4 linked regions of the Saccharomyces cerevisiae S288C genome follow. Changing the gene in region 1 together with any one later gene gives a genetic interaction. Each region holds a gene or a part of one and is shown on either strand. Other genes may lie near its edges.

What was found.
Region 2: mutations in TAM41 (region 1) and YEH2 together harm fitness more than expected from each alone (negative genetic interaction), as found in Saccharomyces cerevisiae (one large-scale study listed by BioGRID).
Region 3: mutations in TAM41 (region 1) and YIL108W together harm fitness more than expected from each alone (negative genetic interaction), as found in Saccharomyces cerevisiae (one large-scale study listed by BioGRID).
Region 4: mutations in TAM41 (region 1) and PMT3 together harm fitness less than expected from each alone (positive genetic interaction), as found in Saccharomyces cerevisiae (one large-scale study listed by BioGRID).

What each region holds. Positions count from the first base shown.
Region 1 is NC_001139.9:582,993-586,552, forward strand, and holds TAM41 (putative phosphatidate cytidylyltransferase), read left to right. Parts: upstream 1-1,902; coding exon 1,903-3,060; downstream 3,061-3,560. Other genes in the region: RME1 (Rme1p), read right to left, coding at 1-900; YGR045C (uncharacterized protein), read right to left, coding at 942-1,304; transcription factor TFIIIC subunit TFC4, read right to left, coding at 3,400-3,560. UniProt on the Saccharomyces cerevisiae protein: Catalyzes the formation of CDP-diacylglycerol (CDP-DAG) from phosphatidic acid (PA) in the mitochondrial inner membrane.
Region 2 is NC_001144.5:181,012-185,270, reverse strand, and holds YEH2 (sterol esterase), read left to right. Parts: upstream 1-1,865; coding exon 1,866-3,482; downstream 3,483-4,259. Other genes in the region: guanine nucleotide exchange factor SDO1, read left to right, coding at 345-1,097; IRC25 (Irc25p), read right to left, coding at 1,109-1,648; PSR2 (putative phosphatase), read right to left, coding at 3,790-4,259. UniProt on the Saccharomyces cerevisiae protein: Mediates the hydrolysis of steryl esters. Required for mobilization of steryl ester, thereby playing a central role in lipid metabolism.
Region 3 is NC_001141.2:159,101-163,643, reverse strand, and holds YIL108W (putative metalloendopeptidase), read right to left. Parts: upstream 2,758-4,543; coding exon 667-2,757; downstream 1-666. Other genes in the region: PFK26 (6-phosphofructo-2-kinase), read left to right, coding at 1-366; COPII subunit SEC24, read left to right, coding at 3,479-4,543.
Region 4 is NC_001147.6:914,118-919,157, reverse strand, and holds PMT3 (dolichyl-phosphate-mannose-protein mannosyltransferase PMT3), read right to left. Parts: upstream 3,129-5,040; coding exon 867-3,128; downstream 1-866. Other genes in the region: LDB19 (Ldb19p), read left to right, coding at 1-552; GNT1 (glucose N-acetyltransferase), read left to right, coding at 4,064-5,040. UniProt on the Saccharomyces cerevisiae protein: Protein O-mannosyltransferase involved in O-glycosylation which is essential for cell wall rigidity. Forms a heterodimeric complex with PMT5 and more rarely with PMT1 to transfer mannose from Dol-P-mannose to Ser or Thr residues on proteins.

The sequences.
Region 1 (3,560 bases):
TTTGGTATTGTTCAAAATTTTCTTCAAACGCTTGTTAAATCTTGAATCAGCGTTGTTATGCACCATGGCCACATGTCTCTTATAGGCGTCTTTGCGCCTAAACGTTTTCTGACAGATAGGAAATGGGCAATTCAGTCCTGGATATTTTTCTACTTTTAGATTTAATGATTTCTCCATCTCTATATCAAGCTCTCCTATATGTTGGGAAGCACAATGTCTTCTCAGACCAGTTGCTTGTTGGAAACCCAATATTTTCCAGGGACATTGCTCTATGGGACACTTACACGGTCTTTCAAGGTTGAATTCGTCTAAGTGCGCGGCAAACTCAACTAACGTTGCGAACTTTTCAGAACAATGAGAACAGTGGTAACTTCCTCTTTTTGTTTGCCCTTCGGAAATTGTGCTGAGTACTTTGGGGTCGTGATATAGCTGTGCCACGTGCGATTTTTGGGGATAGCCTAGAATACACTGTGAATGGGATTGTTCTGTTGTATTGCTCTCAATAAATACAGGATTTGCTCCTTTTTGACGTCCATAATTAATAAGATCTCTGAACTCCGGATCAACTAATGACGTGATACAGTGTGTACTGTCCGCTATTTCATCCGGCCGTAATTGAGGTGCTGTACCTTCCTCAGTAGACGACGTAGAGTCATAAGCCTGTCTCTGATTTCCGGCTATAACTGTGATTGTGTTTTCTAATGATAGTAGTAAACAGTCCTCAGTGCTGGAAGGCAGGCTGGAAGGCAGGCTGGAATCCCCCTCTAAGGGTGATGCCGAATATTCTTTCATGTTTTGCCCGAAATCGTGCCAATGATAAATCGGTTGCACCTCTTGTAAAACCTCTCTGTTCCAAGACCCCTTGGCGATGGCACTGTTTTGTCCATAACACGGTGACATAAGTGCTGAAAATCCCAACTTCTAGTAAAGAATTAACAAATTCAACTGTATGACTTATAGGATAAGAACAATGTCAGTTCCAATGCGTTGACACAGTAGAAAATATATTTACTAAGAAGCAGCTTCGTCGTTGGTATAGTTTCGGTTGATCTAGATATAAATATAACTACAAATAAATGGCAGGAAAAATTGAAGCAAATGACACAGGACATATCTATCACATTGCTCCCTTTAATTTCCTCGAAGGCACTCTGGCCTTTGTTCTCTGCATAAGAAAAAGCCAGCAGAAAATACGGTGATATATTTAATACATGCCCGGCCACTTTTCTGCTGGTAAAGCCCACCGGAAAAGTTCGGATTTTCTTATCCAGTATACGCCGACCTTTTGATGTAATCTGTGACATCTCACTCCGGCGGCCATTTTACGTGACGAAGCATCCCTTACAACAGAAAGAAGAAAAAAGATATGCCGCTTTGCGGTTTCTTTCTGGCAATGTATGCACTCATAATGCTACTCGTTTACCCACTATCCCTGTCCAAACTAAAGAGGGAGGAAAGCACTTTTTGCATTTACACATCGTAGATTATAAAATGATCGTTAACAGGCGCTTGTGATTTTGAATTTAAGAAATGTGGACTAGAGAAGTCTTAAATCGCCAATGCTGTACCAGACTCTCTATAGCATCTAAACACGAAATTCAACTGTTATCTTAGTTTTTCACTTACCAGTAGCGCGCTTGTTATTCCCACGTTATTATTTGCCCCCACATCATAGGTCAAGTGACCTTCTCTTACCCGACATGAATAAAGAAAAGAAAAGAAATCATACCCTTCAGCCTGTTTAGCCATAAATAGTAAAGAGTAGATGTTTCGACGGACTAAATAATGTGAAAAAGGTTCTAAAACCTTCAAAACAATTAAACTTGAGAAACGTTGCTATAGGATTGAGCTAATAATTTGAATTAATAGGAGCTGCTTTTTACTTTGATATATCCTGAAGTTATGTTACGAGTTTCTGAAAATGGTCTACGGTTTCTGCTGAAATGCCATTCAACGAACGTAAGCATGTTTAATAGGCTTCTGAGTACTCAAATAAAGGAGGGGAGAAGTTCCATAGATGATGCTGGCATTATCCCCGATGGAACTATTAACGAAAGGCCGAATCACTACATCGAGGGAATTACTAAAGGCAGTGATCTGGACCTCTTGGAAAAAGGTATAAGAAAAACTGACGAAATGACTTCCAATTTTACAAATTATATGTACAAGTTTCACAGATTGCCCCCCAACTATGGAAGTAACCAGCTCATTACTATCGATAAGGAACTTCAAAAGGAACTGGATGGGGTAATGTCATCCTTCAAAGCTCCGTGCCGGTTTGTATTTGGTTACGGCTCAGGAGTTTTCGAACAAGCGGGATATTCCAAAAGTCATAGCAAACCTCAAATCGATATAATCTTGGGCGTCACATATCCATCACATTTTCACTCTATTAATATGAGGCAGAATCCGCAACATTATTCAAGTTTGAAATACTTCGGTTCCGAGTTCGTGTCTAAATTTCAACAGATCGGCGCAGGCGTATATTTTAATCCATTTGCAAATATAAATGGACACGACGTAAAATATGGGGTGGTTTCTATGGAAACACTTTTAAAGGACATAGCTACTTGGAATACATTCTATTTAGCAGGACGACTACAAAAGCCTGTAAAAATATTGAAGAATGATTTGAGAGTGCAATATTGGAACCAATTAAACTTAAAAGCTGCAGCTACTTTGGCCAAACATTACACCTTAGAGAAAAATAACAATAAGTTTGACGAATTCCAATTTTACAAGGAGATCACTGCCTTAAGTTATGCAGGTGATATTAGATACAAACTGGGTGGAGAAAATCCCGACAAAGTTAACAACATTGTTACCAAAAACTTTGAAAGATTTCAAGAGTATTACAAGCCGATTTACAAAGAAGTGGTCCTAAATGATTCATTTTATCTTCCAAAAGGGTTCACATTAAAGAATACTCAGAGACTTTTGCTCAGCCGTATTAGTAAATCAAGTGCATTACAAACTATTAAAGGTGTTTTCACAGCTGGAATCACAAAGTCAATTAAGTATGCTTGGGCCAAAAAACTAAAATCGATGAGGAGAAGCTAGTGTATCCAATGTTATCTACACATTATCTTTTATCAAAAATGTTTTATCGTCCTTTCATCTCTTTCGAAGAATCGCTCTATTCACATTCCAAATCTCTGGCGTCGGTCAATATTTATTCATCTTTATTTTTACCTTCTTCTAGATAATATACATTATCCCATATTGGCATTCAAACTGACTTACTTGCATTATGGAAGGGGGATCATACGTTCCAGTATATGCAATGGATGTCGTACTTACGAACACATTGTAGCATTTGAAGGGGTATTTCTATATATTTCTATTATTAAGGGTTATATTACAATTATACTTTATAGTTTAAAATATTTAAACAAGTTCTCAAATACTTAAATACTTCTCCATGAGGTGGTCGGCCAACTCAACATTTCCGCTTTGCTGATATATTATAATACTGTTATAGGCAGCATGTTTTTTCAACTTTCCATCATCGTAGTTTTCTAGAACTCTATTATAGTACTCAATTGCAATCGATACCAGAC
Region 2 (4,259 bases), on another chromosome or scaffold:
TTTGGCTACATTTTCAAGAAACTTTGGATCCAAAGACAAAAGGAACAAACGAAATCTAAAAGCAAAAAAAAAGTTGACTGATTATAAAAACTACATTACGACGAAAAGAAAATAATAAAACTGTGTACTTTTAGTTTTGCATTTATGTATTGACTGTTATTTAACTTATTATGACCTCATGAAAGAACAAAACTTAGCGTGTATTGTTCTGCTCAGTGCCTTGTATATATAATAATGTTCATGAAAAAATTTTTCTAGGCCGAACTTAAGTGATTTCATGCAGTAGTAAAAGTTTTTAAAATTTTTACTAAAATAGTTCTGAGAAAGAAAAGGTAAAACACGCAATGCCTATCAATCAACCGTCGGGACAGATTAAGTTAACTAATGTTTCATTAGTGAGATTAAAAAAGGCTCGCAAGAGATTTGAAGTCGCGTGCTACCAAAATAAGGTCCAAGACTATCGAAAAGGAATTGAAAAAGATCTGGATGAAGTGCTGCAGATACATCAAGTTTTCATGAATGTTTCGAAAGGCTTGGTTGCTAATAAGGAAGATCTACAAAAGTGTTTCGGGACTACAAATGTTGATGATGTCATCGAGGAGATCATGCATAAGGGAGAGATTCAATTATCGGAAAAAGAAAGACAATTAATGCTTAATAAAGTTAATAACGAAATGCTTACAATAGTTAGCGCTAAATGTATAAATCCTGTGTCAAAGAAAAGATATCCGCCCACAATGATCCACAAAGCTTTACAGGAACTGAAGTTCAGCCCTGTTATTAACAAACCTGCCAAATTGCAAGCTTTAGAGGCTATCAAATTATTGGTTTCTAAGCAAATTATTCCAATAGTAAGGGCGAAGATGAAAGTCAAAGTGGCCATAAGTGAGCCATCTAGACAACCCGAACTTATTGAGAAGATTAGTAAATTGATAGCTTCATCGCCTGGAGAGTCAACGAAGCCGGAATTGGATCCTTGGACATGTACAGGTCTTATCGATCCTGTCAATTATAGAGATTTGATGACCCTATGTGATAAAAAGGGAACTGTGCAAGTCTTGGATATGGCAGTCATAGATAATACAACGCATAACTAATTTATATAGAATCACTTTGCATACATATCTTTGATACACTTTAACACAAAAACTAATTTGCCAAAATCATTATCGTCAGCGCTTTGTTCCTTCGTTGCTCTCCATATCTTACTGCTCATGGATATCAGCAAGCTGAATTGCATGTTGTCTTGGGCCATCGTACCGCTCACTTCTGGTAGAATAACTCTCCTATATAGTTCGGCAATCTGTACGCATACCACGGGTACTTTAGGATCGGCACTATCTCCCAACTTGGTAACCACTTGATAATCAGATAAATGGTCTCTTACAAATTCTTCTTCCTCATCGTCATAATCGCCACCCGTGTTTCCTAGGTTTCCTGCCAGTGGTACGTTGATATCGAGAATTGGGTTTAGTCCTTTTGAAGATACCTCATAGGTGGAATCCATTTCCCCATTTAGTCTGATTTGCAATAGAATTGTGTTATTAAAGTGCGTGGCTTGTACATACAATTCTTTGTTTTCGGATGAAGCGTTCAATGAGCTATCTTTTCCTTTCGGTAGATGAGTTTGGAATTCATATGATATCATATTTGCAACAGTATTTTGTACAAAAATAGCCCATTCTTTTTGTCATTGTTAATATTTTGATTCACCATTGGCGTTGTTATCCCAATAATTCGCGCATTAAGTTCTTCATTTTTTTTCACACAAATAGTACGCAAATGTTTCTCATCAAAGGTATAATTAAAATTGTTGGGAAATACTCAACTATCATTGGGATCCCCGTGGCACCTTTACGATAAGCATGGTAAATAAGGTGGTTGATGAGGTTCAGCGGTTGGTGAGCGCAATAATTCTCACTTCGTTTATGACGGGGTTATTCATTTTGTCACTATGGAAGAATTACGTGACAGTTCATTTCCAACATAAAAATGATCCAAGAGATACAAGAAGTTCGAGAACCAAGATCCAGCCAAATGACAAGAAGAAGAAACGACCAGCACGTCACTCTAGACCTTTGTCAATATCTTCCACAACGCCCTTAGATTTACAGCGGGATCAGGAAAATAATATTGAATATGACCGTACTGTGACTAGCAAGCTGTCCATGACTAGTAATGCCTCTTTATCAGAGAACGGTGATGGAAATGCTAATATTAAAATGGAAACGAATGTGAACCAAGCCCCATATGCTGCAGAGAATCCCTTCCAAAACATTGCGCTTGCGGAGGATACCAAGCTGGTACCTGACTTAAAGTACTATTATAAAGAGTATGGTATTGATATTGAAGAATTTGAGGTGGAGACAGACGACGGTTTTATCATTGATTTGTGGCACTTCAAGTCCAGGTTAAACGATGGCGTAGAGGAAGTGAAACGTGAACCCATTTTGCTATTACACGGTCTTTTGCAAAGTTGCGGGGCCTTCGCATCTTCAGGTAGAAAATCTCTGGCATACTTCCTTTATGAATCTGGATTTGATGTTTGGTTGGGGAATAACAGATGTGGCTTAAATGCCAAGTGGAACATGAAAAAATTAGGTAATGATCATTCCAAAAAATGGGATTGGGATATGCACCAGATGGTTCAATACGATTTAAAAGCACTTATAAATTATGTACTTGATAGTACCGGATATGCTAAACTATCGCTCGTGGCGCATTCACAAGGTACAACACAAGGGTTTATGGGGCTTGTCAACGGTGAGAAACTATACGCAAGTGATTTTAAATTAGTCGATAAGCTGGAAAACTTTGTTGCTTTGGCACCTGCAGTGTACCCTGGACCTTTATTGGATGAAAAAGCATTTGTGAGGCTAATGGCAAAAGGTATTGATTCTCCGTGGTACTTTGGTAGAAGATCGTTTATACCTCTTATGATGACAATGAGAAAACTAATGGTTGGGACCAAGATTTTTTCGTTCCTCTCATACATCATGTTTAACTACCTATTTGATTGGAACGATGTCTTATGGGATAGAGTTTTAAGGGACCGAAATTTCTTATTTTCACCAGTCCATATTTCCGTCAAACTAATGCAATGGTGGTTGTCACCTCTTCCTAATAAGCTAAGTTTTAAGAAGGGTGCAGAGAAAATTTTTCCAGATAAAAAGACATGGTTTCCTATTGCCAAGAATGATGATGACAGTGGCAATAATTTGGATAACAACAAACTACACTTAAATCCGAAAAGACAAAATAGTGAAGAATTTCCACACATTATAATGTTTATTCCAAAGCAAGATAGATTAGTAGATGGTGAACGATTAATTAATCACTTCATTAATCATGAAGCAAATGCAGTGTACAAAATCTGGTATATTGATGAGTATTCCCATCTGGACGTTTTATGGGCGCATGATGTTATAGATAGAATTGGTAAGCCAATGATAGAAAATTTGAGGTTTCCTAATGCAAGGTGAGGTAAAAGTTTTTTCTTTGTGGTTTCTTTGTAAAATATAATATGCCATAAAAAGAGGAAAGAAAAGCATAATAAATAGATATATGTATAGAGTATATATTTATATATATGCTAGTATATACGGATATATGTATCTGTAGATGTTACACGTAAAGTACAATTGATACATGTAATAAGCAAATTAATTCATTAAGTTTATAAATATCCGGTGAAGTCTTCTGTATAAAAAGAGAAACATGAGTTCGTCCAAACATATAACCGAAGGGGGGGGTAATAAAAAGAGCCTGCTTTTTATGTTACTGAGAAATCTATATCGTCACATCCAACACGCTCCCCACATCCAACACGTTTCCTGATGAAAGGTCCTCCAAAAGTGGGATAATATCTAGTAACTCATTATCATGAGTATCAGAGAACCAAGAAGATATCGGAACAGCATGTTGCGGATGAAAGATGTAAGAGGCCGGCGAATTATCTAAGATGATTGTTTCGGACAATGGTCTTCCGATCTGCGATAAGTTCTTGATGTAGTTACCTTCGTAGTTATAACAAGCTTCTCTGAATAATCGATGATGGATGGTTCCATTAGGGTCCAACGTATCTAAAAGGGGGTTTGCATACCTCGAAACACTTGCCGTGAACACAACAACTTCGTATAGTTGACTCACCCTGTTCAAGAACTCATCGACGCCTGGCCTCTTAATAACATAGACATTGTGAACTTGATCATCGATTTCGACGGGCAAAACGAAATCAGCTGAATGCATATATTTAAAGG
Region 3 (4,543 bases), on another chromosome or scaffold:
AATGAAAATGGTGATTCGAGAATACCATTATCTGCACCACTTATGGCCACTAATACTTCTAATAACATCTTAGATGGTGGAGGTACCTCAATTTCGATACATCGTCCCAGGGTTGTTCCAAATCAAAACAACGTGAATCCTCTTTTGGCTAACAACAATAAAGCGGCTTCTAATGTACCTAATGTAAAGAAGTCAGCGGCTACACCAAGGCAAATTTTTGAAATAGATAAAGTGGACGAAAAGTTATCCATGTTGAAAAATAAAAGTTTTCTATTACATGGAAAGGATTATCCTAATAATGCTGATAATAATGACAACGAAGATATAAGGGCAAAAACCATGAATCGCAGCCAAAGTCACGTTTAAAATAATATGAAAAAAAAAAAAAAAAAAAAAAATCAGAAATATTTTATGAATTATTCAAATAGACTAATGAAGTGATAAAACCAACCTTTTTTTTTCTTCTTTAAGGTATATTGTTCGACGCAATCATGAAGTGTTGCGGTTTTTTGTTTATATTTTTCTATAACTGTTTTCCTTTTTCCCAAAGAATTATGCAAATGAAGAATATCTACGTATATATGGAAAATAATTTAATAGATATATTTTGATATGACTAAGTTATGAAATAGAAAAAAATAAGAAAAAAAAAACCTTGACTAATTACTATAAAGCTCCGTAAATAATTCCGAAGGCGTCGACCCATTGACCGACTCTGCCAGTCACACCTAGGATATATTGGCCATTAGGTGGCTGCAATTCAGCGAACCCACCTCCGTCTTTGTTACCAAACATGTCGGTCATTCTCCCATGACTCGTTATAATTTGGATAGCATCAACCCAAGCTCCGCACCTCAGATTAAACCCAATGATTATTTCACCCGGTTCTAGTGTAGCATCCGTAAAATTTTGTGTTTCATGTCCAAAGAGTACACTTTTTAGATTTTCTTCGTTTATTGAAGCATGATTTTTGATACTATGTGTAATTTTTGAGAAATAATTTCTTGGTGGTACAGAGGGCTTGGATGCGGGAGCATCCTTTGTTCCAGTTGGTTTTTCCTTGTAATAAAACCTCACACCATCTAATGCATAGCCATGGTATATTCTCACAGCAGTGACTAATCTAACATCAAAAGCGACGACGCCGACAGCATTACCACCGTCGCTGCGACCATAAAGTGGTGATTTGATACCTTGAACATTTTTAGAAAACCCATATTTCGACATGTCTAATGGCTGAACATCTAACAAAGATGGGAACTTGTCGAACTCGGTTTCCGGTGCATTAACAGAAAGAATTTTCAATTTGAAGGTATTGCCAAACTTGGCGAGTTCATTCTTGGGCAACCTGGCACGTAAATCATCTAATGTTACTATAACTTCCCGTTGAGGCCCCTGTCCACCTAGGGAAACCGGCAAGTATTCAATATGGCCCCTGGCCAAATCATCACATATAATTTCAATCAAATAGATTCCTGTGGGCGATAATATGCGGCAACTGCCGTTACCCAAAGGATATACAGAGTGTTTTATATTGGGGTATCCGCCCAATTTTGTAGGTCTCATGAACGATGGATCGTAATAATCCTGTGGTAAAGTGAAAGAGGGGTGGTACAAAAATCTTACCGTATCGAGACGGTTCCAGGTACATTCTTCCTTGGGGAAGATGGGAGGACTAGCACCAGTTGAATTAGTTCTTACAGAATAAGCCTCTTTAGTCAAGAAAGACCTATTCAAAGTGGTATAGCCTCTTAGCATAACACCGCTTTCCTGATGAGGACAACCCAGTAAGTGACCAATCTCATGCATAAATGCTCCCAACGTGATAGTCAAACATTCCCAGTAAGTACCACACTCATTACAGTCGTTGGCGACTTCACTGGTGGAGGATCTTGTCTCATCAGTAAAATAAGGCACCAATTGCTCGAGACAAGTAGGCCATGAGTAAAGCCCGTGCGACCCAAAAATGGCGAGCTTAATGCTGTCGTCACCCCCACCCAATGCGGCGTGGCCTCTAATCAACTTACCATCCCAGTGGGTGTCTAGAAACATACAAGCTGCCTGAACAGGCTTTTCGTTATTGGTGAAGGGTCCGCCGTAACTTTTAAGGGCGTCCATGGCTATCCCAAAAAGGGCGCCGGTGTTTTTCCCTTTGGAATTCTGTTGAGCTATGTCAGGGTCCTGGATTTCCTTCACCGTCTTTTCCGAACGAACTACATGTATTTTGATGGTGTTTCTCATAGCAGGCCGTTCGAACAGCGTGTCCCAGGTAAATTCTTCAACAAAGGGAAACGTCCTATTTCCCATACTGTTTCTCAGCATTTGCTCGTTCGTGTACGCTTGCATGAGTCTGGCCCCAAGTCTTAGCTTCTTGATTGCCAATTCGAGGCCATTCCCGCCCTCTCTGTCCTTCTGTTCTCGAGGAGAGTCAAACTGTAAAGGCGAATCCTTGGCCAAGATCAGACACAGGTGTACGGGAGGGTTCTGCGTCAGTGGTGTGTAGTAACATACGATTGTCCTAGCGGTGTTAGTGTCTGTAACAAAGGTCAACTTGTTCTCACCAGGAGTCAATATCACAGTGGCCTTGAAGAACTGATTATGTATGGGGTAAGTAATTGGAGGCAATTGTGGATGCTGCACTTGAACGGTCTTCGCACCATTTTGCTTATTGCATTTTCCGTGCACGATAAGACAAGGAGAAACGATTTGCTCGTTCTCTCTCAGGTTGAATAGATCAATATCCTTCGAGCCTACCATTTATTTCTTTCTCTTCGAACTACTACTTCCTTTTTTTTTTTTTACTGTATACGATCTAATAATAAGAAGAAAGAAGAACTCCTTTTAAATTTCCTTTTTCTCTCTATTTTCCGGCGACCGCTACTCTTAAACGTCCAAACCAAAAAAAGATCGAGAGAATTGACTGCGCCAAGACACATGAACTTCTGAAACCTAAGAAAGCCTGACTGTTCCTAAGGTGATCTATATTTATATACAACATCATGCTCTTAAAAGAATAGGTTACGTAATTAATTGATGGAAAATTTCAGCAAATTTCCGCCTAGAATGCCGGGTAACAAAAAAGTAATTAGTGCTATGTTTGGGTGATAGAATCGTGTCACAAATATACATAGCACTGACAAGTGTGCATTTTGCACTAACCACTGCTATAAGTTTTTCAGCTTAATGCAGTCTATTCAGGCACTATCTGGGCTTGAAAAACAGTCTTGGACATGGCCACTGGAGCAGATTTGTTAACGCTTAGCTGTTCTCTTTTTTTTTTTCTTGTTTTTTCCATTTACGGCAGAAGAAAATGAAAACTGGAAGAACGAAAACGAAGAAAAACAAAACTATGTAAGGAGGATGGTACATCAGGAAACAGGCCAAAAATAGCACTACAAAAAGGTTTTATCTGGCACTCAGGTCCATTTTTGCCGCATTGAAACAGACATAAATATATAAGTCTGAGACCATCTGCAAAATGTCTCATCACAAGAAACGTGTTTACCCACAAGCTCAGCTCCAGTATGGACAAAATGCCACCCCTCTACAACAGCCAGCACAATTCATGCCTCCGCAGGATCCTGCTGCAGCTGGAATGAGCTATGGTCAGATGGGAATGCCGCCACAGGGTGCAGTCCCTTCCATGGGGCAGCAACAATTCCTAACCCCTGCTCAAGAACAGTTACACCAGCAAATTGATCAGGCCACCACTTCCATGAACGATATGCATCTGCACAACGTACCGCTAGTCGATCCTAACGCTTATATGCAGCCACAGGTTCCCGTGCAAATGGGCACACCTTTGCAGCAACAGCAACAACCAATGGCAGCGCCTGCGTATGGCCAACCTAGCGCCGCAATGGGCCAAAACATGAGGCCCATGAACCAGTTGTATCCAATCGATCTGTTGACGGAATTGCCTCCTCCAATTACCGATCTGACCTTGCCTCCCCCACCGTTGGTTATTCCTCCAGAAAGGATGTTAGTTCCTTCTGAATTGTCCAATGCGTCTCCAGATTATATCAGGTCGACCTTGAACGCCGTTCCTAAGAACAGCTCCCTGCTGAAGAAGTCTAAACTTCCATTTGGGCTTGTTATCAGACCATACCAACACTTGTACGACGATATCGACCCGCCTCCATTGAATGAAGATGGACTTATTGTCCGTTGTCGTCGTTGTCGTTCTTACATGAACCCTTTTGTCACTTTTATCGAGCAAGGCAGAAGATGGAGATGTAACTTTTGTCGTCTGGCCAATGACGTTCCTATGCAAATGGACCAGAGCGATCCAAACGACCCAAAGAGTAGATACGACAGAAATGAAATCAAATGTGCTGTGATGGAATATATGGCCCCAAAGGAATATACTCTAAGACAACCACCTCCAGCCACTTACTGTTTCCTGATCGATGTCTCCCAGTCCTCTATCAAGAGTGGGTTACTGGCCACTACCATCAACACCCTTTTGCAAAATCTTGATTCCATTCCAAACCATGATGAAAGAACCAGAATTTCCATCTTATGTGTAGACAACGCCATTCAC
Region 4 (5,040 bases), on another chromosome or scaffold:
TCTAACGGTGCTAGTAACTCTAATATAGTGAGTGTTCCCACTGGTGCAGCACGTGTTTTAAGAATGCAATTCAGATTAACAGTCACTGAAAGATCTGGACTTGGAATCTCCTGGGACGAAGAAGTTCCTCCCATTTACCAAGATGTCGAGTTGCTCTCGCCACCATGTTACGAGCTCTCTATAAATAATGGAATCAAAAATAAACTTTATTCAACAATGAGTACTCCTGTTAGATCAGAGGATGATTTTGTGGGCGGCAGCGATGAAGATATTGGGAACTATGAGAGCCAAGGGCTCGAACCTGGTCCTAACGTACAGGAAGTAACGATCACACAAAATAAATTAACGATACCACCAACCGCACATCACTACCAGCCTGCTTCCTCTTCGCAAAGATCCCTTACCACAGTACAGTCACCACCACTGGAAAGTGTTGTTAGTGTCCAGGGTAGTGTACCTTTTCGTGGACATGTGTTGACACCACATAGCACAAGAGATATCAGAATACAAAACTTTTCCGATTTTCTAGATTCCAATAGAATAACCCAGTAGATTTTATAATATTCGTTAAAGGTATTTACCATATATTTTTATCTTAGATACCTGAAAACTACAAATCTGATCAATAAGCAAACCCTGACCATGATTTGATGCATTTCACAGATAACTACATACAGGCATTGTTTAACACTTGAGCATTTTTTTTCTCGTATTTTCTTAAGGCTGGACTGGATTAATATCTTCATTTCGTCGTAGGTACATAGCTTTGTTATGATAAAGAAGAAGGCATAAGTCGAAAAAGATATTTCGCGCATCAATTAACATTTTTTGTGTGGTGAAGAAAAGTTTTTGATCATTCTATATATCTATGTGTTACGTATATCTTCAACAATCTGCCACGTAGGTAGCCATGCCAAGTACGCGTAATCATCTACTGGACCATCCATCCCAAAACTAAAAGGAGAGAAATAAAAAAATCCAGCGATCACGATTGATCCGTATACAATATAAGCTCCTAGCCTTAGAAATTTTCCAGTGTTTCTTGTAGCCCAACGTTTGGTAATCATATCGAAGTAGTATGACAAGATCATTAAGGCAAAATAAAGGGTGGGCAGATAGTGGTGAGCGTATACAACTCTTGACATCACTACGAATGGCATATAATGTAAAAGCCAAGCAAGCAATGGATAAAAGGCTGCCATAACGAACACGTCACGTTCGACTGGATCGGATAGGATAACACATTGTCTCTGCCATTTCAGAGTTAAGAATATAACGTGTATTATCAGTGCGCAAACTGCGATGCTTGAGGGCCAGACGGACGCAGGAGATCCTAATAAGAAGTACTTTATAGATTTTTCACTCCATTCGCATAATCTTACCCCGACGTTCAAGGTTGGCCATTGCCAGGCAGATGAAGCTATACCATCAAACTTTTCAGGGTTTGGTACCAAAGCATTATTGGTTGCCATCATTGCTGAATTTAACTGCATGAAATTCCTGAAGAATGAAGTCTTCGGATATACGAAATCTTCTCCCTGTGGCAATCTTTCATTTTCATGTGTTTCGATATTCCACCAGGTTCTCTTATCCCTTTTGGAGGCGTGTTTTAAACAGACAACTTCACCTTGCCTGAAACCCCATTCTGGTAAATGTTTACCTGACTGAGCTAAATAGCAACCCAGTATAGAATTTTTAATACGGAAAGATGTGGATAGCGGGTGTAGTAGTGTTGGATCTTCTTCCCCTACTTGTTCCACGATTTCTATAATCCAGTTATCTTTGTAGTCACCTAAGTCTACATCTCCGTAAGCAGAAACTTCATATTCACTTTTCGATATAGGCGCTGGGACTTCATGGGTGTGTAGATTCTTGCCTGTTAGGCGATGCATTAATCTATACATTTCGCCACCCTTTACAAACTCAATTGTCTTGTTCTCAGCATCAGTCCAAGGCTCTACTCCTCTGATTCTTTGAAAAAACCATTCATTGTTAGCATCACTGTAACCATAGACAGTTACTTGCTGTTGCTCAGAACCTTCTGGGAATGGTTGGACATGAGAATGTAATAAAGCGCCTCCCAACGCTTGATTTTTGATGGAAATAATAGAAGAACCCAAAGCAACATCACGTGGTCCCTTACCAACTTTTGTACCGTTCAGACTGGCTTGAAATAATGATGGCATGGTAGAGTCGCCGGGCCCTGAGTTGGACAGCAGATCAAAATGGATTTTGAAGCATAACAAAAAAACGCAAACAGGAATGATGATAAGCCCGAATATTCTTGCTAGCCAATGGTTGACATAAACCTTCCAAGACACCGATCTATCACTTAGGAGATTCCATAGTTCACTGATGGTGTAAATTCCTACTACACTGATGATGAAAAGACCTACCATTTTCACAGATATAGCGCAACCCAAATTCAACCCAGTGAGGCACAACCATAGCCACCACCTAGCCGAAAAGGGAGACTTTCTCATAGTATGGAACTTGGCAAGGCAAAAGTAAGAAGAGACGGTAAAGAAAAGTAGCATTGAATCAAGGAGAATGAACTTGCCTAATGTTGCATACGAATTCTCAAAAATTACTAGAATGGTAAATAGCCAAACACTCAGCCTAGAAAATCCGATAGCCCTTCCTGTGAAATAGGCTAGTGGCACACACAATGATGAAAACATTGCTTGAAATAACCTCATTTTCACATAATCGATATAGTCGGGATAAACCTCACCAGATGGGAAGTCCCAAGAACCATTGTAGCCAGCCAAATAACCAGACAGTCCAACAAGCATTTTACCTAAAGGTGGATGAACATCATGGTAAAATTCGTGTCTCAGATAGTAAGAGCCGAACTTACCAAAATGAGCTTCATCCCAGACCACATGATTATTACGACCAATCTTGTACATTCTAGTGAACATGCCCAGTACCGTGAAAATGATCGGCATAACTATGGTATCCAGGTGTGATACTGCACTCTCGTTCTTGACTTTATCATACAACTCGGCATCATCCTTTAAAAAGTTGTCAGCATCCTCGAGTTCCTCTTTTACTATTGGCGTTCTCCATATCAAATCATCGTCAGTACTTTTTTCACTGTAGCCCGTCGCCACTCTGTACGGCATTGTCTGTTATTTTATTTGCCGGTATTTGGAGCACACAAATATTTGTTTTACTCTTATGTCGAAAGGAAGAGTTGGAATGCCCTTCTTTAGAGATTTTCTATTGTACACCGGCCAGGTGGCCTATTATATTTGCCTTTCCTCGCGTCGCGATTTTCAATTAAAGGGCGCGAGTGCCTAATCTAGATCTGAGCTTTGTTCTTAAACGAGTTCTTACAGGGTGGTAACTCATTCATTCTTTACATATCCATTTTCGTTAACGCAAACATTCGTCAAGTCATCTGGAATACTAACCCGGGACAGGTTCCTTTTAGCTGTAATGCCTCTAGGATGATTACTATAAAGAAATGTAACATACTTACAGAAAAGGGAAGTATTCTCTTAACAAGGCAGAAATTAAGAGAATACTACTTAGGAGAGTAAACCTGTTGAATTTTTAAGCCGCAGTAAACGTTTGTATTCCTTAGTTATGAGGAAGTTCAAGTAAACAGATTACTTACTTTTTTAGTAACATCCGGCAACCGTACCAGAATTATTACATTTATTCCAGAAGCATTTTCAAAAGTTTATTGCATTGGTATTCATTGGTAAGATCCATTCATTTGGAGAATATGCTTATGATACTTAAAAATTGGAAAAATAGCCGCCATCAACGTTTTAGGGTTGCTCAACATTGGCGTTTAGGGTTTTGATAAAATGTAGGGCTTTTTAAAATATCACTTGTATACTCTCTCGTTCCGCTCAGCACGCGACCGTTTGAGCAAAACTAGCATCTGGTACACTATAAACTAGTGCTCGGTTCTCGTTCATTAGTGATGATCGTACTGTATCAGGCTGGTGGATTAGTCGAAATCACCGGGAAACAAATACCGACCACTTGTGGACAACATTGTGACATTATTTGCTAAACTGTATACTTCGGAACTATCATTCCAATTATGAGGTTGATATCCAAAAGAAGAATCAGATTTATTGTGTTTATTTTGTTCGGCGTCCTCACTGTATTCGTAGTATCAAGACTTGTTGTTCATTTTCAGTATAACCAAGAAATAAAGTTCTATAAAAAGTATTTTCAACAGAGGAAGGATGGGCTTCACGAAATTTACAACCCATTAGAAATCAAGCAAATACCCAAGGAAACGATAGATGACTTATATACCGCCCGTTTAGATAAAGAGTTGAAAAACGGTGAGGTCATCGAGTGGTCCAAGTTTGCATACGTGAATTATGTGACTAATGCTGATTATCTTTGTAATACGCTGATCATATTCAATGATCTGAAACAGGAGTTTGAGACAAAGGCCAAGTTAGTTCTTCTGATATCTAAAGATCTGCTAGACCCAAACACTTCCTCAAATGTGGCTTACATTAGTTCACTCCTTAACAAGATTCAAGCTATAGATGAGGACCAGGTAGTTATCAAGTTGATAGATAACATTGTGAAGCCAAAGGATACTACACCTTGGAATGAAAGTTTAACAAAATTACTAGTATTTAACCAAACAGAATTTGACCGTGTGATTTATCTTGACAACGACGCAATTTTAAGATCAAGCTTGGACGAATTATTTTTCCTACCAAATTATATCAAATTTGCAGCTCCATTAACATACTGGTTTTTATCTAACAGTGATTTGGAAAAATCATACCATGAAACGCGACACCGTGAAAAGCAACCAATCAACCTCCAGTCGTATACAAAAGTGCTGACTAAAAGAATTGGGAAAGGTCAGATGATTTATAATCATTTGCCGAGTTTGCCGCATTCATTGTACTTGAATTCTAATAACATAGCTCAGGACATTATAAGTTCTACATCATCTTTATCGCCGTTATTTGATTTCCAAAGTAGTAAAAAGGTTGGAAAATTAAAATTTGCTTCTAATTTAATGGTTATTAATCCTTCAAAGGAGGC